Schizosaccharomyces pombe: one gene and its partners. The gene in region 2 interacts genetically with the main gene of each other region. Each region holds a gene or a part of one and is shown on either strand. Other genes may lie near its edges.

What was found.
Region 1: mutations in wdr21 (region 2) and SPOM_SPBPB2B2.18 together harm fitness more than expected from each alone (negative genetic interaction), as found in Schizosaccharomyces pombe (one large-scale study listed by BioGRID).
Region 3: mutations in wdr21 (region 2) and vts1 together harm fitness less than expected from each alone (positive genetic interaction), as found in Schizosaccharomyces pombe (one large-scale study listed by BioGRID).

Annotation. Positions count from the first base shown.
Region 1 is NC_003423.3:4,497,507-4,506,857, reverse strand, and holds SPOM_SPBPB2B2.18 (uncharacterized protein), read right to left. Parts: upstream 4,167-9,351; coding exon 4,133-4,166; intron 4,072-4,132; coding exon 4,001-4,071; intron 3,791-4,000; coding exon 3,572-3,790; intron 3,332-3,571; coding exon 3,194-3,331; downstream 1-3,193. Other genes in the region: SPOM_SPBCPT2R1.01C (uncharacterized protein), read left to right, coding at 1-252; SPOM_SPBPB2B2.19C (transmembrane helix domain-containing protein), read left to right, coding at 1,914-2,948; ftm7 (transmembrane helix domain-containing protein), read left to right, coding at 4,462-4,902; SPOM_SPBPB2B2.16C (MFS family membrane transporter), read left to right, coding at 7,464-8,921.
Region 2 is NC_003424.3:323,925-333,958, forward strand, and holds wdr21 (WD-repeat family protein wdr21), read right to left. Parts: upstream 5,662-10,034; 5' UTR 5,561-5,661; coding exon 4,298-5,560; 3' UTR 4,272-4,297; downstream 1-4,271. Other genes in the region: TRAMP complex poly(A) polymerase subunit Cid14, read left to right, coding at 1-54; gms2 (NST UDP-galactose transporter), read right to left, coding at 270-483, 538-1,242, 1,301-1,356; cysteine-type deubiquitinase Miy1, read left to right, coding at 2,770-2,932, 3,018-3,467, 3,574-4,058; protein eti1, read right to left, coding at 5,886-8,819; nce101 (non-classical export protein 1), read left to right, coding at 9,290-9,315, 9,367-9,517; mrpl6 (mitochondrial 54S ribosomal protein uL6m), read right to left, coding at 9,771-10,034.
Region 3 is NC_003423.3:3,035,401-3,048,481, reverse strand, and holds vts1 (RNA hairpin-binding protein), read left to right. Parts: upstream 1-2,471; 5' UTR 2,472-2,715; coding exon 2,716-4,857; 3' UTR 4,858-5,078; coding exon of another isoform or gene 5,079-6,680; 3' UTR 6,681-6,842; downstream 6,843-13,081. Other genes in the region: gpi14 (pig-M family mannosyltransferase), read right to left, coding at 1-502; F1-ATPase delta subunit atp16, read right to left, coding at 1,127-1,630; zf-C3HC4 domain-containing and GCN5-like protein cwf24, read right to left, coding at 5,079-6,680; pho2 (4-phosphoerythronate phosphatase/2-phosphoglycolate phophatase, involved in detoxification of glycolytic by-products), read right to left, coding at 11,372-12,120, 12,160-12,228, 12,276-12,354; taf51 (transcription initiation factor TFIID subunit taf73), read right to left, coding at 12,617-13,072.

The DNA of each region.
Region 1 (9,351 bases), on a different chromosome or scaffold from region 2:
ATAGCAGTCTTGGGAATGATTATAGCAGCCCTGGGTGCAACTATAACTGGCCTTTTGTATTTTGGTCATTGGGCTCTTTACAAACTTGTAATATTGTCTTTAGGCTTTAAAATTGTGACACCAGGAGACGTCTGTGTTTCTAACACTCTTCCTACACATAACGGAGAAACAGCATTACATTCAGAAACAACAGTTGGTTCTGATATTGAACAAATAGAACTACAAAATATGCCTACTCCTGTGAAAAAATAATTTTCTTTATCGTTTTCATGATCATATAGAATATAACTATTCTTAACAATGTTCGAATTGACTGTCCTGTCCAAATCATGCACATAAGGTGCGTTCGTTATGAATTTCAATTATGGAACCAAACCAAATTATGGTTTTAATTAAGATATTATCACTTAATGTAACTAATGTTTTTATCTTTCGTTTCATAATTATTCAAATACTAAAAATGACTTTTTTATATATTTTTTTTTTAAAAGCTTAAAATATATTATATTAAATAAAAAATTTCGAATTGAACCAATTTGGACTCCCACTTGTGTTTCAAAAACTCCATTTCATCTACTTTAACCCAAAATTCAGCGTCATATTCACTACAGGAAAGGAGTTTTATTCATTATCTGTTAGTAGAAACAATTTGGTTTCAATTTTTTATGACGAAAATGCTTCGAGTTAATTTAAGGCTTTGTTTGAAATATAATTCGTTTAGTGATTATTCGCTTAGTGATTATAGATATCGTTCTAATTTTCAAATTACAAAATACTAAACAGCTTTATTTGAATAAACAGTAAAAGATTCTAAATCTTTGGACTACTTTTAAATGGTTGACAGACCAGAAAAATTTGAGAAAGAAAGTTTTATAACAAATCGTCTTATTATCTATCTTGCCTAAAAGGAGTGATCAACCTTGAATGACAGAATTTATTTTAGGTCGATAATGGTTGGACGGTGGTGTGGTGTATGCTTGCTAAGCGAAAATATTGCAGGACATAAGTTAGACGAATTGAATTTTCTACGTTATAATCTGTTCTGGCGCTTGCTCGCAATCGTAAAAACAAACTATTGAAATTAAAAAAAAAAAAAAAAGATTGGTAGTGTACATGCTGAATTTCAATCTATGCTTTAAATTAATAATTGCTAAATTCAAAAAAAAACGAATGCTATCTCTTTATCCACTGGTCATTACCAGTTTTTTTTTTTTTTGCTATATTTTTCTTTTAAAAAGCTTCTGTATTCTCGGGATATTACCAACGGCGTTATTAACTCAATCATCGAATGAAGTACGAGTACTAACGGAATAGAACTAGTCAACGGTGAATGACTTTATCTTTCACGTTCCATACTTAACAGATTTTTTATTATATTCAGTAACTTGTGCTTGTACAATTTAAATCTTGAAGTAAAGGTATGATGCGTGAACAAACCATTTATTTGTGTTCTTTTCCCTCCAATCTTCCCAATGTTTTAACGCTAACGTTATGCAACGTGGAGCACGGTAACTCCAAAACGAAAGATATAAAAGGCTAATCATTCCTGATCTGCTTTTCCCTTGAGCAAGCATCATTTACCAACTTTTTTAAAGATGCGTCTTCATAAAACACTAGCATTGCTGTTATGCAACCTAGTTCTCCATACTCTAGTTAAAGGTGAAGTAGACGCCAAAGCAGTATCTATTACTACATAAAAGGAAAACTCTACCTTGTCAAACCATAATGGACTGCCTAAAGAAGCCAAAAAGCTCACTCTTAAGTGCAGTTGGTTCATTGTGGAGGAATCTAACGGTGCCAGAATACATGCTAATTTTTTTGCACAAAGCTTCGATAAAAGAGAAATTGCTTTGTCTTTTTTTGAAGCAAATGAATGGCAAAATATAATTGGCTGGAATGATCAAGTTGAGGAGATGATTGACTTTGTAAAATCAAGAGACACGGTGATCCAAAAATCTTTTTTTGAGGAATTTAATTCCCAAAACCGAGAGATGGGATCATTTGCATATTCTGGTAACTCGGAATCGGTATGGACGGGCGAAAATATTACAAGTATATGGAAAACTATTTTGATTAATGAAACGGGTTCTTACTGCGTAGCTGCGAGACCAATGACAATGGATGGAGCTGAATTTAATTTAGACCTTATGGGGTATTCGGTTTCAGAAGATCAAATTAATAATGACGAAATTGGCATTTGGAACTATATTTCTGTAGCTGAAATGGGAGGAGTACTATTATTTTTGAGCTATTGGATATGGACTTGTTTACATTTCAGCAAGATTATATTTCCTGCTCAAAAGGTAATCTGCCTTTATATTTTTCTTTTTGCGTTAAATCAGACTCTACAAGAATGCATTGAGGAGTATGTTTTTTCTTCCGAATGTATAAAATACAGACAATTTTATTCGGTGTATGAAATAATTGATTTTCTTCGGACAAATTTTTATCGATTATTTGTGATTTACTGTGCATTGGGTTTCGGCATAACTAGAACTGTTCCTAAATATCTTATGATAAAAGGAATTAGTATTGTCATTGCTTTATGTTCTGTATACTGGATTTCTTTATATAAAGACGTATATGTAGTATCAGAGATTTTTGACATGATCCAGTATGAGGTATCTCCTGCAATTTGGGTGTATTCTATTTGTCATTTATTGAAACAATGCACGTCTGTAACAACTTACGAAAATGCTTCAAAAGCCAGATTTTTTAGAAGAATGCTAAATGCATTTATCTTTATATTCTGTGCATCTCCAATGTTGCATTACCTGTCGAATATTATATTTGGAAACTTTGATTACAGACTGTCGGTGATCATTGGTGATCTTTTCACTTTTATGGAGAAAATTGCTTTTCCATGTTACATAATGTTTCCCACCCATAATGAAGCACTTGCCTACAATCGAAATGTAGCTGAAGAGGCTCAAGAGAAAATGATTTGACAAAAACCATGGTTTACTTGATTCACCTTTAAAGGGGTTACCGGGATTATTTTATTTATTATTTGTTTATCAATGGATTAATATCCAGTTATTTTAATCTCACTTTTTTACACAGAAATTGTGTAGTAAGTTCATTCTTATTTAATATACCACCTATTTATTTTTTACAAATGAATATTTTTTTACTGGAACGTTTTAAATACACATAACCTTTGAGTCGATGTGAAATAATGTTTTGTTCAAACTTAAAAGTTGCGAATCTGACATATAGACAAAAAAAAAATAAAAAGAAAAAACTGGTTACCTTCATAAACATATTTTGCTAATTTATTGAATTTAATTATTTTCAACTTGCTTTCCCATTTTCCCAACAATTTTTTTATCTATAATATATATTTTACAAAATTAATATAGTACATCGCATGGTTTTCTTTAAAACGACATAAACGTATAATAATAAACGGGGATTCAAAGTAATAAATCGAATCCAAATCAACTTTCAAATACATCCATTTCATCTACTTTACCCTTATATTCCCCTTCATATCCCCAACAAAAAACAGGAATTTGCGAAAGTAGTAAATGGTAAAAGTGAATAAATAGAATCAAGGTTAAAAGCTTACTTGTATGCATAAGAAGATAACTCCCTCCTCTTTACTTTTGCTTAAAAACAGATTCTGAGATTCGGGACTAGCATCGGTAATATAAGTTTTTCTTTCATACTGTTGAGTACTAGCATCAGAACCCTTAATGGTAGGAAGATCATCATCATGACTACGCCTTTGTTCAATCGAGTAAACATTTGCTGGTTCGTGCCAGTCACACTGAGAACAACAAAGTACCTATTATTAAAAATGTTAGCAAGCGATCGCTAACAAGTTGAAAAGTAAACACCTCCAACTATTCCATGGAAAGCATGTAACAATGAAGATCAATGAATGGCTATTAGCTTAACAAACTTGTAAACTCAAAACAGACTAACAACGTTTGTCAGGCACTAAGAGCAATAATGGAACAGACTTCATATCAAACGCTTTCTTGAATGTTCTTACCTTATTCGTATAAACCGGAAGAACAGGCACAATGAGAACCGTTACGGTTTTCAACTGACGACATACTCGGACTAAAAACAAAAGAAAGAGCCAATTGCTTTCGAAACTACTGAACTTGTTTATTTCTCGTACCAGTCTTCTTTGAACTAAAAAAAAAAAAAAGCATTAGCAAAATGTGTTGTCAAACGGATAAAAAGAGAACAGGAAGAAGATTGCTGGAAACAATTTTAAAACAGCGAATAAAAAAAAAAGAAAAAATAATAATAATAATAAACAAAATACGAGTCGCTAATTTTTGAAACTAATCGCTTCCAACAACTGTTTCATTATAACTTCACCATTTTAATATTGTCCCCAAACAGCATGATTTAATTCTCTTTCACTAATTTCATACCACACAGGACACGTAAGTAAAACATCCTTATAATCGTCAGTGGATATCCACATATCTCGTAAATGTAATGGCATTGTTAAAAAAAATAAACACTCAAGTGAATAGAATTATGAAGAATTCGAGTCTAGTTCAAAATATTTGTTTTGACAGAGTCCCTCTATTTATACCAAGACTAAGCCTCACAGTGAAATATTGTCTAGCAGTAAAATTGCTGATTTATTTATTATATTGTTGGTACATTTACTCGGAAGTACCATCGGTTTCATCTAAATTCCGATCCTTTACATTTGGATGCGTCGTAGTATATCATAACAAATTTTTTCCTCGTTTCATTAGAACTCACTCCATTAACTCCATTAGAACGTTTTCTAAATTTCAAGTCATTATACTTTTCTCTATTGAGAAAGTCACTAGGTCAGAAAGCAAGAATCATTCTTACTCGAAAACCGATATTAGTGATCTGCACCAGGGCTATAATAATCCACCATCAAGATTCATATCACGATAACAATTCCATAGTATCTTGCTATATACGTGTAATGAGTATTCGATACTGGCTTGATTGCTATTTCTCCTTTGCTTGTAATCGTAAAATTGACTTGAAGATCTAAACCTTCTAATGCAATCATTGGAATTCTGCCTAACCTGATCAAATATGGCTTGATCGCCGTTATGTTAAAAGCAGAAGCTATGCCAATCAGTATGATTGTAACTTACAAAAAAATATAGCACAACGACATACAACATTATGGTACAATAAAGAGGACTTGATATATCAAGAACGAGGTTCAGTTTGTGCTCCGTTTATATTATTGTATTTCTATATATGACATTACTTGATGCAATCGCTTAAATATGTACTTTTGTGTAGTTATACTCGCAAGTACAGTAGCATTTTTAAAGTAGCGGTGATGTTGACGAATGGTTTGTTTCAAATCCATCCATTTCAATTTCAATTGTAAATTTCTCTTTTTCAATTATTAATCAAGTAAGTTGAAGTGTATCAGCACAATAAATTCTGACTATTACTACTCTTAAAATAAAACTCAAGCGAAACTAATTTTTAATAGCAAGTCATATTCTTAGTTTGATATGCTATCCGCTTTGGTTTTGCATTGTTATGACTTTGTATAACCTAATAAGGTGACGAAAAATCAGTTCGTTTATATTTTTGATGAGAAGAATTCACTATTATTACACAGAAAAACATTTACTTCTTATTAGATACCTTCAATATAATATATTTTTTAAATGTAATAGCGACGACACTACCCATAATTTACAATACATTGTATGGTAAACAACTGAGTAGTTGATACACCCGATTTTCATTGAGTCATACACTTTGCGCTTACTATCACTTTATTTGGCTAAATGCATAATTTACAAGCCATTCCAATATTTCGCGCACTTTTCGGACATAGTAATAAAAGCCGAGGTAGTTTCGGCGACTTGCAACATGTTTTTTTATCGTCAGCTCGGAAATAGATTTCCTGACAGAGAAAGAAGGATATAAAAATAAACATGATGGGGCAATAAATAAATATTTCACCATTTTTTATATATCATTAAGAACAATGAAGAAATATATCTCTGAAGTAAAAAATAGTTGGGAAAATATGTATGAAGATCCCGCAACACCATTTGATAATGAGAAACCAGACGAATAGATCATGAATCTTGTACAACTGGGGAAATTACATGAGAATGTATTAGATGCCGGTTGTGAACCAAATAGAAATGCTAGATATTTAGCCAGTCTTGGATATAAAGTCGTGGGTATTGATATTTCCGAAAGGGCTATTTCTAAAGCAATCGATAAAACATCTAGTGAAAAAAGTAATGTCAACTTTAATCAACGCGATTTTTCAAGATTAAATGAATTCAAGGGGCATTTCGACACTGTGATTGACATTGGTTGTTTTCATTCAATTCTAAATAGTGATCATGAGCCATACACAGCTTCGTTAAGTCATATATGTCACTCTGATAGCTCCGTTTTCCTAAGAGCGTTTAGCGAAACAAACAAATCACGTTATAGACGGTGGCAGGGCCATAAAAGGTATTCCCTCGCTTTAAAAAGAAACAATGTCAAAAAGCTTTCTTTATAAACTATTGGAAGATTGAAGACATTAAAGAAGAAAAGTCCTGCTTCATCTTCCCCTAACTAGAAAAATAAATGTTTACACATGGTTTGCCAAAATGCGTTGTAAATAGTTCATGTACATAAAATATATAAAGATGAATGGACATATACATCAATTTTAAGAACCCATTAACAAAAAAAAATTCAGACACTCAATTAGCTAGCTAACAACTGTTCTTTACGAAGAGTTGAAAGAAACTTACAACCAATGGAAACCTTAGAAATATCAAGGCTATGATGCACTAGCGAAAATCCATTAAACTGACCAGAGCTTTTAACTTTGATAGATTGGCTATTCTTATTAGAAATCGATTGTTAACATTCATGAATTCAGCATTATATTAATGGTTAGAAAGTTATGGATCGAATATAAATGCCAAAGAAAGCAGGTGTGAGGTGGTCATTTGCTGAATCAGCAGGATGGATCCATGATGGATGGGATCGTGCAAGTCTAAAGAATTCTTCTGTAGTGAGTGTTCGTTGAGGCGATCTATAGGACAAAATAGCAGAATTGTATAAAAGAACTTGGAAAAAAGTCTATTAAAATAAATTGAGTATACTTTCCATGCCTGTAATTTATAACTTGCTATCGTGCTTACTTAGAATGCTCCGCGGTGAAGCGTGCACCGCGGAAAACTTATTGCATGTATTTTCCGCGTAACTGAGATTATATACATAAGTTAAGTATTTTGTGCATTAATTTTATATTTTAACCGGACCATACAAAAGTAACCAAAAAAGAAAATTGCTTTTAATTTAGAACCTCAAGCCTACTACTTTCAAATAACTTTTGGTGATTTTTTGTTGTATAGGAATACTATAGTGGAAACGACCTTTAGTATTGCTTAATCAATCTACGTAATTACTTGAATAATCGCTAGAAGATTTTCATTTTTTTTTTCAAACAAATTTCTGTGTTTTATATGAAAGAAGAGTCAATTTTAAAAAAATGCGATTCAAGTTCCATAAAACACGTGCCATCAACCCCTCTAGAGACAAACTGTCCAGACAAATATAACCCTAAAACATGGCCTATTCGTTTAAAGGTACGAAATGTCATTGTTATTTCATCAATGACTTTTTTGAATCAATACGGTGATAGTGTCTTTGCGCCAAGTATTTCCAATATTGCAGAGCAATTTCATGCTTCGCGAACCTTGGTCACTCTAGGAGCCACACTTTATACATTAGGGATATTATTTGGAAATTTAATATTTGCTCCACTTAGTGAACAGTTTGGAAGAAGACCTATATATTTAATTGGTTATAGCGTATTTGCACTTCTTCAGATTCCCATTGCTCTGTCAGTAAATTTGGCAATGTTTTTAGTATTTCGTTTTTTTTCTGGACTTTTCGGATCCGTTGGTTTATCAAATGGATCTGGCTCACTGGCTGATCTGTTTGAAAAAAAAGATCGAGGAAAATATATGGTGATTTATTTTACCGTTCTCTCGATTGGACCAGGAATTGCGCCTATAATTTCTGGGTTTATTAGCCAAAGTTCAATTGGTTGGCAATGGGAGTTTTGGATTCTATTAATTTTATCAGGGTTCAATTTATTTTGGGCCTTTTTATTACTAAAGGAAACATATCCCCCTGTTCTCAATCGCAAGAAATTTGAAAAATACGGCGAAATAGGAGAAAATGAACCAGTAGCGTTGCGTCTCACAGGTAAGCAACTGCTTATAAAATTGTTAATTTTATTGAGTATGAAAAAGCCAATTTCTATTTTACTTTCCCAACCCATTTTAATATGTGTAGCCTGTACCATTGGTTCTATATATGGAATGATAAACTTGGTGCTTATAGCTTTTTCCGAAGTTTGGAAATCTTCATATGATTTCAGTCCTGGGATTAGTGGTTTGATGTACATATCCATTACCCTTGGACTTTTTTCAGCAGTTTTCATTGCCATGCCTATCAACCAAAAGTTTTATTCATATCTGGTAAAGCGAAATGGTGGTGAAGGTGAACCTGAATTTCGACTTCCTATGGGTTTTATTGGAATCACACTTTTTGAAATAGGAATTTTACTTTTCGGTTGGACTGCAAGATATAAGATTTTTTGGTTTGTGCCAACAATTGGATCAGCCATTATGGGTGGTGGGTACATTATGACTTCCAATCCCTTAAACATGTATGTGGTAGATTCATATGGAATTTACTCAGCCAGTGCGTCAGCGGGTGTAAAAATATTTCAACTATTATTAGGAGCCATCTTTCCATTATTTGCTGAAAGTCTATTTCGTCGACTGAACTACGGATGGGGGTGTACTTTACTTGCCTTTATTTTATTAGCTTGTGGCTGTAGTCTTCCAATCTTATTCAAGTATGGAAAACAAATTAGAAATCTACGACCATTTGACCCCTCAAAATACTAGTTGATTTAACTGATCAAAGTGAGGATTTTCACACACATTTTCAGAGTACTTGGAACGTGCCGAGCTGATTAAAAAACACCGGTATTAACAAAAAATTTTATTTATGAAGCAATACGCTATTTCGTTATGACAAACTTGATTCAATGAAACTATTATAAACCTTAAAAGCGACTTGAGCTCAGTAGCTTATAACATTTTATTCAGCATTATGTTTTATGTTTTCTATTTATAGAATCATTAGTCTTTAGTTAGCCTTACAGCTTCATCTTGCACAATAATTTTGGCTGATCAACTCTTATTCTAGGGACAGTTTGAAAAATCATACCTTGTCTCGTATTTTAGACTTTTAGGATCTGTGGCTCTAATTTGTGACAAAGAACATAATTACATGTTGGACCGTACTTAACGCACCTCAGTCCTTCTTTTGATC
Region 2 (10,034 bases):
ACCACTGCTTCAGATGAAGAATCTCGAGCGAAAAAAATACGCAAACGTTTTTAGTTAATTTACATGTAAAATACCAGGTTATATAGAGGGATAAAAGGTTTTATTATCAATTATGATTATAGTTTGATAATTGTATTAATAAATTATCTTTATAGATTATACTTACGATTTAGCCAGTAAACTCGAATACCAGTAATAAATTAATCAACACCTTAAACTCACTATGGATCTGTAGTAATTTTGCATAAACGATGAAACTAGTTAAGAAATTACGATTCGGCGAGAGGAAATTTGATGATAGAATGGTAAGTAAATATGCCATAAATAAGAAGCACGAATCCCAAGAATTGAAGTAAATGGAATGACTCCATCCCCATTGCCATAGCAATAATCCAAATTCCGAATGTTCGAGCAATATCTAAAAGAGATCGGGTAGTAGCTGAGTGAAGTTTTGTAATGGCTAAGCCGGAAACGTTGAAAAAACTAAGGTTGGAACGTTAGTAAATACGAATGGTCAATTTTTTAACATGAACTTACGCAATAGATACCAAAATAACTCCAGAAATAACATAGAGTGCAGGGACTTCATTAAATCGAGATATAACGTGTGAATAGTCAAACCACCCGTGGTATCCAGCAGTAGTAGAACCGATAAAATAGTAAGAAATAATCATTCCTAAAAGGACAAAAAATACGCCATAAGTACCTTCATAAGCAACTAATTCTGAAGGGTCGACTTGAATAAACGAGAGTATGTATTCTTCAATTGTGAATTGTGTTGCTAAAAAAAACTGGCCGATTAAAACTGCAGTAATTCCTAAAATGGGATTTGAACCAATAGAAGAAGAGGATCCAGAATAACCAACAATTGCAACTCCTAAAACTACGAAACTCAGTGAGAGCCATTGCAATTGACCGATTGTTCTTTTTAGTAAAGTCGTAGCGAACAAGGCAACGAAAATAATAAGCGAACCCCTAGTCATTTGATAAATGCTGGCACTAGTATAAAGAAGGCCAACATTCATCAATGTTGAACCACATATATCCATGATTGCTGGAAGAGCCATGAAAACTTTGTGCTTTAAAGGTAGGTGGTCAAGAGATTCGTAGCCAGGACCTTGTGAGTGGCGTTTATACAACACATAAAACCATAAACATGCTTCCCCAAGAAAAATGTTGAGGCTTTGAAGAACTGCCATACTCTTGATGGGTTCACTTTCTTCTGCTATACTGTCTTGATATCTATTTGAGATGATTTGTTAGCAAACAATACTATTGGATAAATAAAATAGCTACTGACTTCGACAAGACGGTGTTAGCTACACCGGAAGTAAGCATAATAATTGGCAAAAGCATTTTGTAAATGTCGAGAGTATCAAATGCCCGTCAAATATGGGCAAGGAAAAGTGATGAGTTGTATGTGCAGTATAATATCATAAAATATCCGTTTAAGATGTTCAGAAATTTACAATATATTGTAAAAGCAAGATGAATGAGATGTACGCTAATATGTATGCGTTAGCGCTTAGAGTATAACAATTGCAGCTGTAATCTATCACTTGTCGGTTAGCGAAACTTTAGTTAATGCATTACGTAAATCGTTAAGTTTGGTTCCTAGAACATAATGAATTCATCAGGGAGATCCAGCTTCGCGAGTATAAATGATAACAAACAAAATAGTTTTGTCTTTTCTATAATACTTCTTTTAGAGTATAATTAAATTATAATCTCAATTTTAATTTATTCAAAGTATATTACAATCATCCTTCATTGTCTTGGTCAATCAACTGAAAGAAATAATTTCCTGAAAATTGTAAATCCAGTATAAAGCAGCTTATATAGCCTTCTCGTTTATAAGATGAAAATTATGAAAAGTGTTTCAATGATGATGCTACCTATATAATCAATACTACTTTACTGAAGTTGCATTTAAACTTTCAAACATAGCTGAAAATAAAATGGTTAAAAACGCATACTTTAAAGCAAATTCATAACTTTTCTTTGGTTCATTAATAATTACAACTGTTAAGCATTGAAAAGATATCTACTGGAAAAGTCTTAAGAGACAGTTGTTTTTTTTAAACTCATTTATTTGATTAATTTATTTTAATTTTCAATCTTGAACTCATTTTCTAAAATTTTCTGGGTTTCTGACAACTTAATAAAAGGAAGTTGTAATTTTACAAATACCTCATTTCTAGTTTATAATTACAGTAAATGAGTGCAAAAGAGTTCATCAACACTTAAAAGAAATTTAATTAATATACTAATTTTTAAAAATATAAATTCAATTTTAACTTTTTGCAACTAAAGTCGATTTTTTAATATACTTCATTGCTTTCTTCACTATAAATAGAATCCAAAATTTGAAGATTACAAAATAGCTGTTAAAAACTTAACAAAGGCAATTATTACAAATACTGAATGTATAAAGCTTGGGCCCCAATTGCAATTACCTAATAATATGTATACGAAATATAGCACAATCCTAAAAGTTCAATTTCAGTATATAAGATTTCATTTAAACTATAAATCCTCCTGTCATAAAACTAAATTTATTTTGAGTAAACACCTTTTATCATTAGCACTGACACTGGTTTTACTGTGATATGGTGGTGTAAGCTATATCCTTACCCAACTTACGATCAACGTCTCTAAATTAACTCATAAGGTTAATTTAAATGACACATTTAGGAATCCTTGAATATAAATTTGAAATTTTCAAAAAGGAATTCTTTAAGAAACCTAAGTTCTGTTAATTACCAAGCCATGGATAATGTTCAGGAACACGATCCTGATACTCAAGAGCATAATAATGAAACTCAGAACCATAAGCAAGAGGACCATTCTAATTCCTACCAGACAAGAACTATTCCTTTCATAGAACCCCTTTCAAGGGAATACCAGAAACGAATTATTCTATGTCAAACAGGTAATCCTTATAAAGACTTGTAACGTTTTAAACATAATTGCAAGCTTTTATTCCGCAAATTCTAAGTTGCTTACTTTGTATTCAGTTAATGGCCCGTGTCCTATAATTGCTTTGTCCAATGCATTAATATTAAAGTCAAACGTAGATCGACCATTTGAATTGCCGAAGAAAAGATACATCACACCCGATGAACTGACAGAATACTTGGTGGAGTTTGCTAAAGCATACGGCTTATGCAAAAATCAGCAAAGTCTTCAGGATAAACTGACATCTATGCATTTCGGTCAGCAATTGAATCCTTGTCTCTATGATATTGAAAAGTTTGAGTATGGGCATGAAATCTTTTGTACATTTGGAGTTCGATTAGTTCATGGTTGGATTCTTTCAGATGATATGGGTTTGAGCGACGAAGATTTAAGCTACCTTCGAAAGCTTGAATATTATGAAAAAGTTGCAGATACATTTGCCGAACGTCGTTCTCTATTAGAGATGCAGGAGCCACTAACTGAACAGCAGCAAGATTTTTTAAATAATTGTAAGTTTTTACTTATCTGTCGTGCATACTTTCTTCAGTTTACTGCTTGAGAGACTTTAGCCTTATAATTTGCTATATGTTTTTTACAAACTAACACTTCAAATAGCTACATGTGTTGACAAAGTTATGGAAAATCGTTATACAATGCAATTTTTGACGAATGCTGGTCTTAAAAAGATTCTTGAGCTTGTAGGTCCAGGGGAAATAGTCGTGGTTTTTCGTTCCAGTCATTTCAGTACCATGTATTCAAATCCAGATTCATTCGCACAATTTACTTTGGTCACAGATAGTGGATACGCAAGGACAGGTGAAGATGTTGTGTGGGAAACCTTTGACTCGCAAACAGTTGAGACAGGCAATGGTGAACTTTGTGCAGCTAACTTCATTCCTGCTGTTTATGTTTTGAATCAAAGAAAGGAGGAGAAAAAAAAACGCGCTAAAGATGATGAACAATATGCCAAGAGACTAGCGAAAGAAGAAGAAGAAAGAGGAAAAAAGGAGACTCCTAAAAAGGCTTCCAACACTCCTCGTCGTAACAAATCCAATACCCAGAAATCACGTAAGCAAAGCGAAAACTGTTTAATTTCGTGATGAAACATGATACTTAGAGGATCTGTCTTTTATATTTTTATTTTTTGTATTCGCTCTAGTGAAAGCGTATGCATTTACTACATTTATTCCATAGTTTCTTTTACGTCAACAATTATTAATTAATATTGAAATCTCCTAAACTTTTTTGAAAGATTGAAAAGTAAACAAGCATTACATATATCCGTAAGACTAAAGATACTATTGCTACCAAAAAGAATTTTCTTCACCTTGTTAAATGCTCATGGTTCGTAAATAAGTAAGCCTCGACCATACGGTAGAACCCAACCGGTACCATTCATTGCTTTTACCCAAGACCCATCTCGACATAAATATTTACCATCGTCAACTCGCATTTCCTTGAATGGTAACGAACAGTCGGTTTTCCAAAAACGTAAAACATAATCATCACCAGCACTGCTAAAAATGCTTCCATTCTCATTTTTCATCAAAGCTAAATTTCTTTCAAGCAAATTAGAATGACCCATATAAGACATAATTGACTGGGGTCTTTTTTTACTTTGCAGAAATCGGCAATCATACAAAGAAATTTTAGATTCCAAACCACTAACCAAAAGCTTCGGTTGGGAAAAATCTAAGTTTTGCATTGAACAAATGCTAGATCCATGATAGAATCGCTGTACACATTCTTTCTTCGTCCGAAGATCATACACTAATACACTTTTATTTCGACATCCAGCAATGACTAAGTTGTCACCCAAATATTTAAGACTGAATACGTCTCCTTTAGATTGCAAACTTTGCGTTAATTTTCCCTCTCGATTAATTATTGCAATTTTTGAGGTGCCACCAACTGCAAAGCCCATCTCTCCAATACTTTCTGCACATAAAGGGGTTTTCAAAAGTTTAAGAGATCCCCAACGGTAATTATTGGATTCACCCAATAGCTGGTTATAAGTAGATATATGAAATTGTCCCTCATTCTGCAGAGAAGGAGATGTAGACCAGAAAATTTGCATTGCGTTACATACCAAAGAAGAAATGGGATTATTAGAGAGGCCTATCCTTGACAAGGAAAAATCCTGAATTGAACCTTCTGAAGTATATTTTTCATTTGCAACTCCAGATTTGTCTTCAGGGGTAAGACAACACCCCAATATGTCGCCGTTTTTGGAAGTTAAAATTATGGTATTAACTTCGCGAAGCCAACCTATTTTTTGCAGCTCAGTCCCAACTGGAAGCTGCCGAAGATTTATTTTTTTTAGGTTTTTTGCACATAAATAATCTCTGTCATCATTACAAGAATAAGGATATTGTGAAAACTGTCTATCAAAAAGATAAGTTGAAAAGTTGAAAACGGGATTGCCTCCTTTTCCTTTGGTTCGTTCTTTACTGATATTATTAAAACGCTTCCCCCTTTTCAACCTCTCCTTAGTATAAATATTAGAGGACGGAGTAGACTGCCCCGAGCTAATTATTCGAAAGTAACGCTTTTTTTCAGAATTGTAATAATAACCGGGAATATGAAATGGTAGTCCGCTCATAACCCAGGGATTGATGGTAAGCAAAAGAAATTAAAAACAAAAAAGGTTTTGTTAAAATGTTGTCGTTATACCATTTCTCTGTTGTATGTAGCCAAATACTTAGGTATTCAAAAGACAACACAACTATATAAATTAATAAAAAAAAGCACCAGTGTGCGGCAAACGGTATAATAAGGTAACACGATAAAATTCCTTATTTGTTAACTTATAGTTAATAGCTTAAATGCCCCCTATAAGGAAAAAATGCCGTAAAAGACAAAATTACTAGTGCTTGCAGCTAAGCTTATTGTCGCTCATAAGCTAGTTTCAGAGATTCCTCCATTTTCTATGTATTGAGAAAAATATCGACTTCTCTTAACAGTGCTTGGAGCGTCGTAATTAAAAATTCGTGCTTCGACTTCTGTATACTAGAGTTACCAATTAGCACAAATTCCCTCACGTTTTTAAGAACAATGCGCACAACGGAGGAGAACAGCTCAGGAGTTAATGTGCCGCTGTTGTTAAATACTGATAATGTCATAGTCCGAAGACGTGAAGTAGCTCGCGATAATAGTTGAAGACGAGAAAATGATAGCTGTTCCTCTTTTATGATTAACTTGGAAAGAACATGAATAAATGCTAAAAGATGAATTGAAGAACAATCATCTAGTGAATAATCAGGCACATCTTGTAATGACCGGAATGCTTCAATAGAGGGATCCTTCGTGAAGCAAATTAACGCCTCTTTATTCTTAGAAATGCGAACCAATTCCAAAACTTTTTTCGATACTGCAAATGACTCAGATTCTTCAAAATTAGAAGAGGATGTTGGACTTTGATCGCTAGTTTCTAATCGCTCAATCATTAAGAGTTTTTCAAGCTTTTGGTTAATGTTTCCTATGCGGTTTGAAAAATCGCACAACTGCCTATTACTGCTTCTATAAGTGGATGTTAAGTTTTCCAAGTCGTTTGCCAAAAATCCAGTTTCTAGGAATCCTACCTCAAGAAGAAAAGGTTTTGAATGTATCAATTTGAAAAGATCAGAAATTTCATCGGTTGCAGCTTCTGAAATAGTCTGCTCCAACAATTTCATGTAAGAGTTCTTAACAACCAATTCCACTCGACTATGCAAGCTTTCAAATTTTGCGTGGATTCTACTTTTCATGACTGAAGAGATATTTTCTCTAACCTCATTAGGATTTTGAGGAACGTATTGATTGAAGAATGGCATGGAGGGATAACAAACTGATCCCAAAGACTCTGTAAGATTTTGTGTTGTGGAATCATCCTTAGATTTTGCACAATTTTTTAAATCTTGACTCAAAGCCCTTAGCGTGTTATTAGACTTTAATCCCGAAGTTAATGATGCCCTAGCTAAAATTCGCTTGTCAGAATTAGGATATTCCAAAGAAGTGCCCTCGTCAAATTTGGAATCGCTTTCTATGCAGAACTGAAAATATCCAGAACTTAGTGCCAAAATTAGTTCAAGTTTGGAACTATCACAGCCAATTAAGGTGACAAAAACAATGCTATGATCCACCACCTCATTCGATATTACTTTATTAATATAACCAGAATCTCCAAAACGCTTGCCTTTGGAAACAGCAGAGATCAAAGCTGCAGTGTTAGATAATACACCCACATTGGATAAATCAGAAGGTGAATAAATAAAGATATCCAAAAGCTGATTCCTTTTTGCAACAATCATGTTTGAATTATTGAAAGTAAGTAATTGCTGAATAGGTGATTTCTCTTTTTCATTTGAAAACTCAATTTCTTGAGTAAAAGCACATAACCCAAAATCAAATAAACCTAATATAGTATTATTAGCATAGGAGACACAAATAACTTTATCAATGATATCATTATTGTTCGGTGGAGATGAAAGAAAAGAAATAGAATTTGCTGTACTCGGAAGCTGAAGGCTCATTGTCGCGATAGCCGCCCAGTTACCTCGGTGTGAAGGATTAGTAGAAAATAAATTAGAAACTGGAAATGAATAGAAAAAAATTTGAGAATTCACTAATATTGCAACAACAGAACGGTCAGAAGAGATGGTGTATGAGTTAATCGGCCCAGGTAAATCAACCTTGGCAGCTTGTAATCCATTAAAATCTTTTGCATAAACTTTAGGGCTAATATTATTGGAACGAATATTTGATATATCCACAATATATAAAGAATTCTTTACAATCATAGAAAACATATTTGAAGAATTAGGAATCCAATCACAAATACCATAATTGGCACGACGGATGGTAAACAAAAGTGAAACTGAAATTTCAGATCGCTTCTGTAAAATTTTCCAAACATACAGATTAGAGAGAGCGTCCATTACCAAAAGATGGGGCTTTGTATGCTTATTTTTGCCAAAATGTAGATTTTTAACATCAGATTGCGTATAAAGTATGAGCGATTGATCGGTATTGGCGTTCAGTACGCGAATATGGCAAGGATCCTGATCCACGTATGCAAAATATTCAGAAAATTTATCAATAACTTGTGAGTTAGCATAAAATGTACTATAAGGAAGATCACAAGATGCTATTTTATTGCAATCTTCTAAAAGCAAAGGAGATGCAACGAATGAAGCCGGAAAAGAAAAAACTCGACCCAAAGAGGGTTCAATACAGTAAACATCATGAGGCACATCAGGTGCGGGTGTTAAAATTTTCTTTTGCTCATCCTTCAATAGTTGAGTATGCATTTCAGAAGACGTTGAGGATTTGGTTGATGGAACTTCATCACCAGAATTTGGCTTCAATGAATTGACTGATTGTCCAGGAGAAAATTCTCGATAATCAGCGACAGTTCGAAATTCTTGATATTTAGTGGTTGACGATTTATTTTTCCCCTGGTCAACCCTTTCATGAAAGGCTTTATCATGCTGCGAACTGCTATTTGAAGACAAATCCTTTTCTTTCATTGAAGGAGGCTTCTCCGTATCTCTAGATTTGCCATTTTGTTGCAATGGACTTGTGGCTTCTAAAAACTCGAACGGGTTAAAATGATGAAAGAATGGCTTGCGAGTTTGTTCATAGGAACTGCTTTGGGGAATTTCATCACTAGATAAGTTTGAAAAATTATCTCGAACATCGAGAGAATCTTGATATAAATCTTTATTGTCTGAACGACTTACTAAGTCAAGTAGAATGCTATCATCAGGAGTTCCATGGTTCATTGAGGATTCCGATAATGCCGAAAAAAAAAGTTCATTACTTTCGTCAACGAACGATCCGAGATTTGTTTCATTAATTGATTTTTCTTTATAAAATGACATATTAACAACGATGGTTGTTTATGTAGTGCGCTTTGTTTGCACTCTACATGTACTGGGCTTTTGTTAGTGGGCAAGTTCGAATTTTCGCTAATATTAAAAATAAGGAGGAAGCAATTTAGGGAAATACATTCGTCAAACTTCATCTTAGAATTTAATACTCACATTTTTATTAAGTTTCTCAAAAGAATGTGAGAATGCAACTATTAATTATTTAAGAAACAGAAACATAAATAAAAGCATTCTCAAATTTTTAATAAAAAGCGAGCTTTAAATTTGACAAAATGACTCTAATATCAGTTTATTACTACGATAAAAAGGATGTATGATGGATATATCTAGGTATTTGCTCAATGCGGCCCATATACTTCATTAGGCTACTACATATTTCCAACCTTACAGTCTCACTACTACTATTGATTAAAAGTAATCAGCTAGCCACGTAAAAGAGAAGAAGTCATTTCAAAAAGAAGATGTCTCAACCCTATTTAATTTCTAAGTAAGATTGTAAGAAGACTCGGTTCATTATATTAACATGTTACTTAAACAGATGGATGGATCCTTTGTTTGGAATCTTCGTCGGTACTTATGGTTATTATTTGTATGAAAAAGAGCATCGTCCCCGAGGAAGAAGCTTACGAGAACTTGCATTGCGTAAATGGAATAAACAGGCAGTTTCACAACAATCCATGAAAAACTGAGGTCAGACATTCCGTAAAGGACTGTTCTAGGAGGCAAAGGGTGTCGAGCGAATGATGATTTTATATTTTTATTCATTGAATAACATTTCCTTTTGTACGTTTATACGCTACTAACAGTCTGTGACAATTTTTACTGCAATGTGATTTAATAAGTGTTTGTAAGAAATGAGTTTGTATAGTGAATTTGCACAAGGTGTATGCCAGATGGAAAATTGAAATATGAGAATGTACTGCATAATGAAATCCAAAGAACTCATGATATGCTCCGTTTAGCTTTTAACTGCGGTTTTTCCCCATCAACATAAATCCCCTTCCCTTTATACGGCTCGGGCTTTTTAAACGATCGAATTTTTGCTGCAAACTGTGTGACTTTTTGTCGATCAATTCCACGAAGTACCAAGCTGGTTGGCGTTGGATTCTCAACTTGTACATCAGTAGGGATAGAGACCAAAATGTCGTTTGCATAACCTATTTTTAAATGAATATTTCCATCGTTTAGAGAAGTCCGATACCCGAT
Region 3 (13,081 bases), on a different chromosome or scaffold from region 2:
TACCTATGCTCACTAATGCAGCCTTTTGAGATATAATTATACGAAAACAAAGCAAAAATGAAAGCATAGGACAAATAAATGTTAATGTGACTCCAATTTGCAGAATGGATTTATGAACTACCGAACAATAAATACCTACTACAGCAAAAATGGCATTGACATAAACAAGCATGCCATTCTTTGCGTTGTAAACGGATTGCTCGTAGAATCTTCTCTTAAGCATAACATAAATAATGGATGTAAGTAGTGAATGACCTAACAAATTCAGATACTCTTCAAGGGGTACCTGTGCAAAACTAACCATAGACTTGGACAGGTTGAAATATAAAATATTTAAGTGAGTAGAAAAAGAGGATATTATAATGAAGTAAAAAGAAATATAGGCAGATACTGGTAGTAAAGCTTTCCATTTATTAAACGTCCATCGTGGATACTGCAATGTGATGAAGACTAACAGCGGGAAGAAATAGAAGTAAACAAATACTTCAAGGAATGTAATCATTATATGTGATTGATGATTTTCGAATTTTATGCACTAAAAGCATACGGAAAGTCAACATGCATGCAATATGTTTGGTACTAAATAAAGTGCGCTACGGCGTGGGTAGTAAATAAAGTCAATAGCAGAGTTAATGCAATTTTGAGTCGTTATTGGATTGAGATAACAATTTTCGGCTTTTAAGGGTTTTCAGCTTCTTTTATTGTAAAATAAATTGTGATAGAGATTTTTGTATTCACATGTAGTCGCCAAAATTGCTAATGACTATGACAAAACTTTGCAATCGGTGCATGAAAAACACCGCTTTAAATCTACTGGTAAAATACATTACACAATATGTAATCATTGAGTATAATTGAAAAACATAATTTCCATCGAAAAAAAAATAATTGTATTTGCTGTTAAATGTATTCGTAATCAGAGATGGGATTGGGATTGAAGCTAAAAACATATGTTGGAACAAAACCTATTGATATCAGTTGAGAAAAGACACTAGTAATAAATCCCCAAACTTATAAACTTCGTTCTTTCGAAAAAGAGTGTACACTATGAAGGAATCACAACATAACCTGTTTACTTTCATGTACACAACTGTAAAATCAGCAGCCAACTAGAAATATTGCTAGCTTATTTTAAAGCGCGAACGAGGGATTCCAAAACACTGACTCGAACCGCCGCCTCGGCAGCAACCCCCTCATCAGAAGAATTCATCTCAGCTTTGTGCTTTTCAAGAAGTTGATTTGCGACAGAAGAAGAAAAGTCTTCAAGTTTATAAGCTTCAGGAACGGTGATAGAAAGTTCATTAGAAGGCTGTTGTACCGCAAATCCTCCAGAAATGAAATATTTTGATTTGTTGCTGGATTCATCAGTAACAGAAATAACTCCTGGCTTAAGACACTGAATCATGGGAACATGATCTTTAAGGATACCCATCTCGCCATCTTCCGCAGGGATGTCGACCTGAGTTACAGGAACCTTCTCATAGATGGTTTGGTATGGCAATGCCATGGAAAGTACTAATTTTTCATTTTTCTGAACAGCTTGGGCATAACCACGAATTCCAAAAGGAGCACGTACTAAACCTTGAGGAAATTGTGATTTTCTCAGCATGTAATTTGATAAACGAAACATAATGTTGTTGTTCGGAGTATTGAGTGGGTTAAGGGGGGTGTGATGCTGCTTCGCTGACTGTGGGAATAACTATGCGGAAAAGTGAATGCTGTCAAATAGTTCTACGAGTAGTATTTTAAAGAAATTACGATTAACAAATATATTCTATACTTTTTTAAAAGTAAAAAAATTCTTCAAGTTGTACAATAAATGATTAAGTGATGTGCCAACAGTTTAAGTTCATGAATTTTAAAGCAACTCGTAAAGTACAGGAAAGTGGATAACTTTCTTAATTCCATAAAGATGAATGATTACATTAGAAAAATAGGCTTCTTCTTTTCCTCAAAAGTAAGTCATTCTTTGTATTATTAAATAACAAGTTGTTTATATACTACAATGTAAATCCGCGAAAAAATCACCAAGTTGAATCTTCCGGATATATTTATTTATTGAATGCTTTGTACAATGGCTAAGTTACTTGGTAATAATCTTTTGATTTGAATATATAGACATGTAGATACAGTTTACAACATTTACCTGATTTTGTAAATATAAAGCAAATATAAACATGTTTCAGTTTATTGGACAACGAATTACAAAGCAAACATAGCATCTGCACGTGTAGATTCATTACGAAGCCATTTGCTGAAGTGGTAATCGTGAGTAAGAAAATAAGAGAAGACCAATTTAGATGTCTGAGTAAACATAGTATATTTTATGCAATTCAGTAAACAAGAATATCTGAAAGAACTAACATTTTCTGCAAACAAGTGTAAAATCAACTATTTTTTTGGCATACTGGCTTGCATATCGCTAAATATAGCGGACCCCGAACTAACATTTATCCGTCTTTCCTCCTTCCACCAACTAGTAGTCATTTTTCAAAACAAAGATCCCTGCTTCGACGCTGGTCGTTTTTAAATTCCTAGGGATCTCCTTTTATCATTTGTTTTTACTCATCAATTTGAAGATTCAGCGAGGCAGATTTGATTATAAGGAGTTAGTTTAGAGGGGGAACTTAGGTTCATTAGGATCAACTACTTTTTCAACTTTTATCTTCTTTTATCGACCATTTTTCATTTCAAAATCTATACTGCCTGATTTAGATGGAAGTGGTTGAAGGAAGACGGAAGACGTGCCTTGACGTTGTTGATTCTCCATCTTCACGTCAAAAACAAACTATAGCTGTCTCGTTGGTAGATGGTAAAAACTATCCTACGCGATTTTTAAATAGTAGGACCATAGATAAATTGAAGCAAGAATTAAACACTTCTAATCTGTCGACTGGAGAAATGTCTACTAACGAAACCTTAAAAAATGCTCAAGAAGTTGCCGGTAAGCTTCTATCCGAAGAGAATGAAGATTCAATATCGGAACATTTCGATGAGTATTTAGGAGCTGATAAGCCTGGTATATCCTTTTTGACTCGTCTGAAAACTCTTGAAAGCTGGTTTCAATCCTTAAGTCTCCAAGATCGACTGACGACCTTACGGACTCTTTTGCATCACCTTCCTTCTCAAGAAATATCTACACTTCTGTCGTCTAGCCTTACGTCCTCTCCTTCAAACTCTGGCTTATCTTTAGACAAATCTCTCCCTTCGTCCCCTAAAGGTGACTCACCTTCCCTTTCAAGTTCACTTCCTTCATTGACCACAAAATCCAACTTGTCTGGAAATTTGAACATGGTGACTCCCGCGTCCACCCAGGGACCTGCATTTTCTTCAAAGCATGGCTTTTCTAACGCTCTTTCTACGGCTTCGCCAATTCCTGTTCGTACATCTTCAGTATCATCTACTTACCTCACGCAGGATCGTGAGGCATCTTCCAAAAATTGCCTTTCTAAGGCTTTAGCATTTTCCTCCATTGAGCCGCCTGCCTCTTCTGCTTCTACGAGTCCTCGGAATACTCCTACCCCTTCTAATAATGGGACTTCAATTAATGCTAATGTAACATCTTCTTTAACCAGCAATTCCACCGGCAAAACATCCAAGACCACTGATCTTTTAATAGCTGCATCTAAAAAGTCTTTACCGTCAAATTCAACACCATCAAAACCTAATACATCTTTTTTTGAAACTCCTCATAATAATATTTGGGATTCTCGTGATAGAGGAGCTTTTTCAGCTCCTCCTGCTCCTTTTTTTCCACTTGGATTTTCACCACATTTGAATGATGAGTCTTCTCGTTCGAGATGGAGTAATATATCTTATTCTCCGCCTCCACCACCACCTCCTCCTGAATTATTAAACCATTCTCCAAAGTCTCGCCCTTTAGGCGATAAGCCTTATCTGTTTTACCGTAATAACCAAATCGGACCTCGAACTCGAACTGAAGGAAGATCTAGCATTACAGAAGGTAAACCGTTTTTATCATCTTCCCTTCGTTTTGAGCACGTACCTTCTGCTAATGACCTAAATTCTGTAGTCAATGCTCGTGTTGAGAAATCAACTGGGCAACCATCGACGCCGTTGAATCGTCAACATTATTTCAACGAACTTCCACATTCGACTACTCCGGTTACATTACCCTCGTTGATTCATGGTTCTGAAATTGATAGGAGACGAAGTGGTTTTTGCTTGAACAATTTCAATTCAACTCCTCCCTTTCAGCCCTATCATTACGAAATTGGTTCTGGTTTACCTCAACAGATGCATGCTACCAATACGATTTTAACGAATCCTATAGATCCTAATTCTAATATCTCGACACCCGTAGGAATGCACCTTTGCACCCTTCCTTACACTTATCAACCGTTTAGTTCAGTTGAAAAAATAGAGACTCCACCCAATAATTCAAAGAACCAAACATACCGTAGAAGCTCACGGGGATCTAATAAAACCAGAAAATCGATTTCACATTCTAAAAACACAGACAAGCATGTTGGTAATGAGCTTCCGCAAGATATTCCGAGCTGGCTCAGAAGTTTGCGCCTACACAAGTATACCAATAATTTAAAGGATACGGATTGGGATGCTTTGGTTTCGTTAAGTGATCTCGATTTGCAAAATCGAGGCATCATGGCACTGGGTGCTCGTCGTAAACTGTTGAAAAGTTTTCAGGAAGTTGCACCGCTAGTATCTTCAAAAAAAATGAATGAAAATTTAAAAGCGGCGAAAAACCAAAGTTCGGAGTCTTTAACGAGCTTCAAAGGTCATACTGACTCGGAGGATCTTCCAAGTGGGAGCATGTCTAACGAAATAAGCTCGAATTCAACTAAACAGGATGTTTCTAGTTCATCAATGGACTGAGAGTTTTTTATCATTAACTAATGACACTGAACTAGATATTTTTGTTTCACATCTAGTGACACTTATCTTTACGCTATATTTGACAATACTTTTTTCATTGCTTGAGGATTTCTGTTGTTTATTTTAAGCCAAAAGGTGGACTAATCAAATATTAAAAGCTTAAACCAATTTTACAAACTGTCTTTGACATCGCTTTTGTAATATAAACATATAAGTGAATTTTAGTGATTTGAAATTATATTATTATGAGCACTTAACGGGCACACCATATAAAAAGCTGATTTGTTTTCTAGCCTTCGGTAAAAATCATTGATTTGCTTAACAATCTTAAATCCATGAGCAGTATACCATTTAATAACTGATTCGTTTGTTGTTTGTACATGAAGAGAAATTCTGTCTATATTATTGTTTATGGCAGTTTTTTTGACGTGATCAATTAATAAGCTTCCAATTCCCAGACATCTGTAAGGGGCAAGAACACATAAGACTGTTACGTAAAGTGAATTATCTTCTGCAACAAGGCTGCTAATGGCTCCAACGAATTTGTCTTCGAATGTTGCAATGCGGGCGTAATCTGGATTTTTGAGAACTAGGCGGTAGAATTTGTCACTATAAGAAGCCTCTAAAACGACACGAACGAGGCGTTTGAAATGGACTATATTGGATTCAGTAATCTCTCTTATAAAATACTTTGAAATAATTGTATTTGAATTATCACCTAAACTAGGCATTTTTTGTTGAGCCGATGTATTTGGTTTTGCCAACGTATCTGCAAACCCTTGAAATGAAGCTTCACGATCTTTACGTTCCGAAACTTCTGTAGTTGCGGAATTATTACTTTCGAAACCACCAACCTTTTGCTTGACCGCCTCGTCATTCTTTGATTTTCTATTTTTCAAAAGCCGATCAAAATTTTTGTCAACAGAAAACAAACCTTTAGTATCTGCACCACACTGGATGCATGTCGGTGTTTTACGATATCTAGTTATGGCACACTGTTCACAAAAATGGTGACCACAAGTGGTAGCAATAGGACTTCGGTAATCCTTTTTACAAATTAAACAGACGAAAGGTATATCCTCTTTTTTCTCATTTTTTACCATCCCTTCTTCCAATTTAGCTCCTTTTTTGTATTTTTCCTGGACTGAATCCCATTCTCTATCAAGTTGCCATCCAGCTTTGTAATCCTCTCGCATATGCAAAAATTTACAAGTATCTCCATAACCGCAATACCCAGTGAGCTTATAATCTTTACAAACATCGGGTTGGTAGTCAATAATTGTATTCATACGGACAGTAGAAGCATTGGAAGATAAAACTGGCCCTACTTGGCTTTTTTTCTCAAAATCTTTCCTTTTAGGCAAAAATCTAGAGTAATCGTTTTGTGACTGGAATAACTCAGTAGGAAGAGTAGACTGATTAGCTAACTTCGGAGAAGGTCGACCTAAAATGACCTCTCTCGTATCTTCGTTGATAGCCGAAACAGTTGTAGTATTAACGGACTCACCAGTAGCGCTTAGATTTGACTGATATTCAACATTTATATCTTTCAAAGCAGAGTTCTCGAATTGCTCGGATTCTCTTTGCAATCGATTTAAGCGAACGGTTTTTTTTCTTCCCGAAACAATTGGAATATTGTCCCGCATATCTTCATTTGATGATTCACTGCTGCCTCCAGAGTCATCATCTCGTTTGAATCCTTTTTTACGCTTCAGTCCTTGTCTGGGGCGATGTCTCCGACGGCTTTGAAAAATTGGAACAGCTAATTCGGTATTGATTTTTGAACCTGAAGCCTGATTGATATTTAAATTTTTTTGTTCCATTGGATGTATGGCAAAGATAATTTAATGACCAAGACACTTGAAAAATCAAATTCAAGATAGAAACGTCGTCAATTCTTCTTTAATTGAGACCCTATTTAAATTCCAAGATAGAACCACTATAATAGTTTAAACAATTAATAGTCACTAAAACAGTTCCCAAACAAGTGCTTCAAAAATTCTGATATCTAGTAGAATCAATATTAGCGCTTGCTGTTTGCTCAAAATTGTGAAACGTGTGTCCCCTTAAATAAATAAAATAAAACAACAAAAATAGAAGAAGTTTGTAGTGAAATGCAAATATATAAATTTTAGAAAGCTGCTAAGCTAAATACGTGGCCACCGAATCTGGGCTTTAGTAATATTCAGGTAGATATATTTTTTAATAATATATAGGTATTTATATTTACTTTTTAAGATTATATAGTATAACGAGGCACAAAACAAACGTTGAGTTCTATTAAGAATGTATAGTTCTCTTTTTGTGACAGTAATCAGTCTTAATAATTTAATTACTATAGTAATGACTAATATTTTCAATCTAAACATATATATACAGCCTTCAATGTAATACGTGTTTGCACAGCGTTCCCTTTAATTTATTGCTTAGCGGTACTTCATAAACACATCTAGAGATTTTTTCATATTTATTTTTATTTTATTTTATGGAGATTATGAGAAAAGGCTGAGATATGGGGGTGTTATTTTCAATTTAAACGTATAGAGCATTGCCATTTACTAGAAATTGTTAACATGAAGAGGCCGTTGCTACGACGATCTAATTTACATTCTTGTTTAATTCATTATCATTTATCATCCAACTCTAATTATTTTGCAATCTGCAATATTGATGAACAAGCTACTAAGTACTGTTTCAACGGCTTATGAATTATATCACATCAAACAATCATGGTCTCAGACCTATAATGCAAATAGCGTATGCTTACAGAATTGAAATCGAATAAAGTTTAGTAGGAAATTATACAAACTCATAGCGTGTCTCAACTTTTATTATAATTCATTATGGTACAAAACTATTTTGAGTTAAGCAAAAGTTCAATGGATAAAATTCCAAACGTTAGGTTTTTAAAAACGACAAGAGTAAGACATCACATTTAACAATTTGCATTTTGAAGATGAACCATTAATCACTCTTAATCAGCCCTTGGTTGTTTACGAACACTATCTGATTCACTGTTCCTGTCTTTATAAAGTTCGCCATCATCAACCTCACGCAACCATGGTGCCAATATGACAGGTGATTCAGAACCTTTTTTATCCATCTTCACAACAAAGTCTTCGTTCCTCTTATTCAAGTGGTATGTTTTTTGCTTCCGGAGAGTGTAAGGTGAAGGTGACCTAGATTCATTAGACCTTTTTCTAGATACCTTTGGTGAATATTGACGGTTGTATGATAAAGAGTCATAAGATCTTTTATTCCTAGCAGGAGAGCGAGAAATAGGGCGTGCAGCGGAGACGGAGATCTAGAGTATGAAACTGAACATGACATACTCAACCTTCTTCTGTAGGAGGGTGAGCGAGAAAAGGACCTGCCTCTGCTTGTAGAACCAGCGTATGAACGTCTATAACGTTGGCGCGAGCGATACTTACGTGAAGCAGGTGAAGAAGAACGAGAACGATAACCCTTATCTTCAGATTCAATTAATCTTCCCTCCGGCGTGTAAGAGCGTGAGCGACCCCTTGACAATGATGATGACCTGGAAAGATCAGAATAAGAGTTACGGTTTGATGACCGTTCTCTCCCACGAGGAGATAATTCTCTATCTTTTCTAATGTATTTTTTATGATTTATATTATTGATAGGGGTTACACTGCGGGAGCGAGAATAAGAACGGCTTTTCGAGTATGACCGAGTTGACCGAGAATATGATCTCCCACGTGAGTATGTGGAAGAATAAGAGGAACTATATGTTGATCCTGTCTCGGATCCAGAGCTATAACCTTCGCTATCTTGCTCCTTTGGCTCGCTTTTGGGCATGGTAAGGAGGTACTCTCTCATTTCTTCAGTTAATGCACCCAAACCAATAGAAGTAAAGTAATTGATAGAGAAACGAACGTTACGAGCTTCATCGACTGGAAACAAGCCATGTAAGTAAGGCACTAAATTAGGATCGTGTAATCTTTCTACCAAGCTCTTAAGACCTAAAGCTTCCACTATTTCCTGAAACATTATTTTTAAAAATATTCGAGAAGAAGCTGTGGTATCGTCTTCGGTAAGACGTACACAGTCATATACTTCCCAACCAATTGAGTCAGTACTCAAGAGGTTGGCAAAAAATAATGCGATATTCCTCAATCTATTAGTTTCGTATCGATGTATAGTTTCGTAGTAGTTTTTAAAACATTGCTCATACGTAGATCGCCAAGTCCGCGATAGTTTGCAAAATCGCTCACCTATTAAACCGTAAAATTTCGCATATGTGCGTTCTTGACTGTTACACTCAATAACCATATTGCAGAGTTCAATTTCCTGACCCTCGGGAAGATCAATTTTTAGTAATTTATGACAACATTCCTCAAAATCTACAGAAGACATAATTGTTAAGTAGATAGACTTCCGTAAATTGACAAGACTAGCATTTGTTTGATCTATAACCTGAGGTTTTTCATCATTCACCGATTCGTCCTCTTCAGATTCACTCGTTTCTTCACTATCTTCTTCATCTTCTTCGTTTTCGTCGTCATCCTCTTCACCCAATATTTCATGTTTTATAGCATCGTATTTTTTCTCATTCTCTTCGTAGTCGGGATCATAGTGAAAAATACCCAATGACTCTTGGACATCAAGGTTATCATCTAAACTGATATAATGCGTAATTTGGTCTTCTTCCTCAACAAGATCCAACTCTTGGGGAATTGTGGGGTTATTTTTAAACTTGTCCTTACGTGTTTGGAACAAAACTTCAATAATAAATTGCGTACGGCGTTCCAACTGGCCTTCATGTAAAATAGTACGAAATCTTTCAAACACACCATTATAAGCCCTAGTGGAAACTTCAGCTAGGTAGGCTCCAATTTCTCGTAGAAGCATAACGGCTATTTCTATAGAATCATTGGTAGGTCTCTCCAAAAGAACAGCAAGAATCTGTAAGCCCACAATTTCGTGTGCTATTTTTTGATTAATAAGATGTGCGATAAATGAAGAAGATGAGATACACATGGATTTGTCATTCCTTTGAAATGACTTTCGGAATTGTACAATCAAACGAGTTAATAGTAATTCACCTATTTGCGGAAATTTTGTATTTATAACCGCTGTCATAGCAGCATAGATTGGGGTGAAAGGTAACGAGGCAGCCTGAGCTTTCATAATGCTGCGGCAATATAAAGCACGACCTCTAATTATATTTTCTTGAAAGAGCTCTGGAATTATATCTCTAATATTGCTTTTATTAACCTTATTAATTAATCCGTTGATGGACTTTTTAAGGGCTTCCCATTGCATCCTTTGATACTCGGGAGTATTTACATCAGTTAATTGTGCTTGTAAAGCCTTAAGTTTTGCCGGAGGGATATAAGTCCCTCCTGATCTGGTTTCCATGAGCTTTTTAATCTGAGCTTTGGGATCCAACTCATTGTGGGATTTTTTCTCATCAGCAAGAGAAGTTGGCGTTTTGATTTTATTTGACTTATGGAGGTCTGGTATGTAATGCCTATCTTCCCAGCTCAAGTTATTATTTTCCTGTTCAGTTTTCTGTTTTCGAATAACTGCCACTCTGCTATGGCCAGAAGACTCTGGGTTTTCCCTATTGTAATCCAACATTCCAATACCAAATGATTTATCTTCTTTCTCCATCCTAATTCATTAGGATTAGATTAATAAATATAAGAAGAACGAAACACGTGAACGTGTTTCCCTTAAAGACACAGTAAGTAGTTTTTAGAGTCAACTCTTTTTCTTACGAATATCACAAACATCGCAACAACTCGTTAAAACACGTTAAAATAACTTTATCTAGTACGTAGTTTGCAGTTCGGATTACAGGTATTTCCAATGTTTTATATATATGATGAGTTGTATTTTAGCGCAAAAGATAACTAGACATCAAAACCTTTATTAAAGAGCATTTTTAAATTTGCAGAGAAAAAAAAGCTGTAATGAATTTATCTCTTTTTTCTTAATCGATGGGAACCGTTCGTTGTTGAACAAGAATCATTTATGCTTTGCTGTCAAGTGATTATATGCCGCATTTAAGTCAAAGACGAATGGTTTTAGTCAATAGAATTTGTTTGAAAAACTATAAATGCTTGTATTTTTTCAATCTTTTATATTGTTATTATTATGGATATGTAAATAACATTAAAGTAAACCTGGATTACCTAAATTAAAGAACTTGTAAGCAGGTGCAGATGAAGATGCCCAATGCCAATGTTTTTGGTGAGAGTATACAGGCTTAATCGTATTTTTAAGTACGTTTCTGCTTGTCAACTAAAAGGTTTTTACTGATTCCATAGTTGGTGGACACACGATAGTTACGAAGAGCAAATGCAAGCCAACGGTATTCGATTTTAGATACTTGATTCCGGTCATTGGTACTTTGCTAATTCTACTTTCCAACTTAATTTCGTATTCTACATGTTTTCGTGCGGTAATTCGCAACGCAATCATTCATTTGAATGAGGTATTTATAGAGATTAACTTAAGAAAATCTAAGGTATAATTAAAGAATGAACTATGCAGTCTCAGCAAGTTTTGCAAGGGATTCAACGTAGTAATCAGGAACAACAGGTGCATCCTTCTCAAGAATCTCTTCTTCCTTACTGACACCAGTCAATACTAACAAAGAACCCCCAAGGTTGGAATTCTTGGCAAATTGAATATCTGTGTTGAGTCGATCTCCCACAAAGCAAGCCTTCTTTCTATCAAAATTCACATTAGCTATGATGGCTTCCATCATCTCATCATAAGGCTTTCCAAGGATTTTAGGTTGACGTCCAGTTGAAAAGATTAACGGATATGAAATTGCTCCAGAACCGGGTAAAAACTTTCCGTTTGTAGGAAAAGTGGAATCTTGGTTCGTCAAAAGGAATGCGCAGTTAGGGTCTTGAAGGTATTGGAAAGCCATGCAATATTTCAAATAGGTGACATGCATATCCATACCACATAACACAGCACCTACAGAAGGATCAGGACCAATCTTCTCAACATCTTCAGAAGCTAATGCACGTCTCAACGACGGGTCCGTTCCACCAATATGAGCAACCCCTACTCTATCAAGCTCATCTTCGATACCTGCTTCTCCAAGTACAAAAACTTTCTTATCGGCAGGAAGCTTTAGCACTTTCTTTACATAAGTAGCTGATGAATAAGCACTAGGGTAGATTTCCTCAAGTTTGGCTGCAATACCGTGTTCATTGATTTTATTCATATATGTTTCTCTTGATTTCGTAGAATTGTTTGAGACAAAAATAATTTGTTTTCCTGTAAAAGAGTTAACTCAAAAGAATAAAAGGGACTTACCTAAAGAACGAAGGAGCTTCATGGTATCCGTAACTCCTGGTATAGGCTTACTGCCGCTCCAAAGTACACCTGCGTGTTAGCCTACAAATAGATTTCATATTTTTGCTAGCGCTTACCATCACAGTCGAACAAAAAAACATCGAATTTATCAATGAATTCTTTATATTCCTTGGGTGATGAAAGTTTTTTAGCCATTCTTAAAGTTGGTTAAAGTGGTAAGGTGGTAGGCGTTCGACATATCCGTTATATTTATAATCTTCGGTTAGATGTTCCTTTCTGATAGTGATGATCGACTTCATATTAAGCTTAAAACTTACATCTTCTTTACTTTACGAAACCTTATTGCGTATAATTGTATTTTAAAAAAATATGAATAAATTTACAAATATCAAAGTTATCGTTAAAATAATATATCTCTTTTTTTCACAAAATTTGCGGGCCATAATGTACATGATATTTAGGAAGAGCTTAATGCTAGACAATAGTTTCTTCGAGTAAAACTTAAGTTTTGTATAATAGTATTTTTGGTTTTAAAATTGAATAAAAGCGGGGACTGTTCGCCGTCCGATAAGTTATTCCGGTATGTCAAATCCCAAAAGTTAACATCAGTATCTGCACCTCCGGAAACCAGAATTTTGTTATCATATGAAAAAGAAAGAGAATAAACGATACTAGAGTGTTTAACGAATGAAACGTGCTGATTACTACTTCTGAGATCCCACACTTTTATTATGCCCGATTCATCAGCAGATGCCAACGATAAGCCATCAGCAGACATACACAATGCAGAAACAGGAGAATGATGGGCATTAAACACGCGAACTGTTCCACCAGTGCGAACGTCCCACATTCTAGTTGTATGATCACTAGATCCTGTAGCAAGATAAGCTGCATTCGGATGAAATGAAACACACTAAATCAA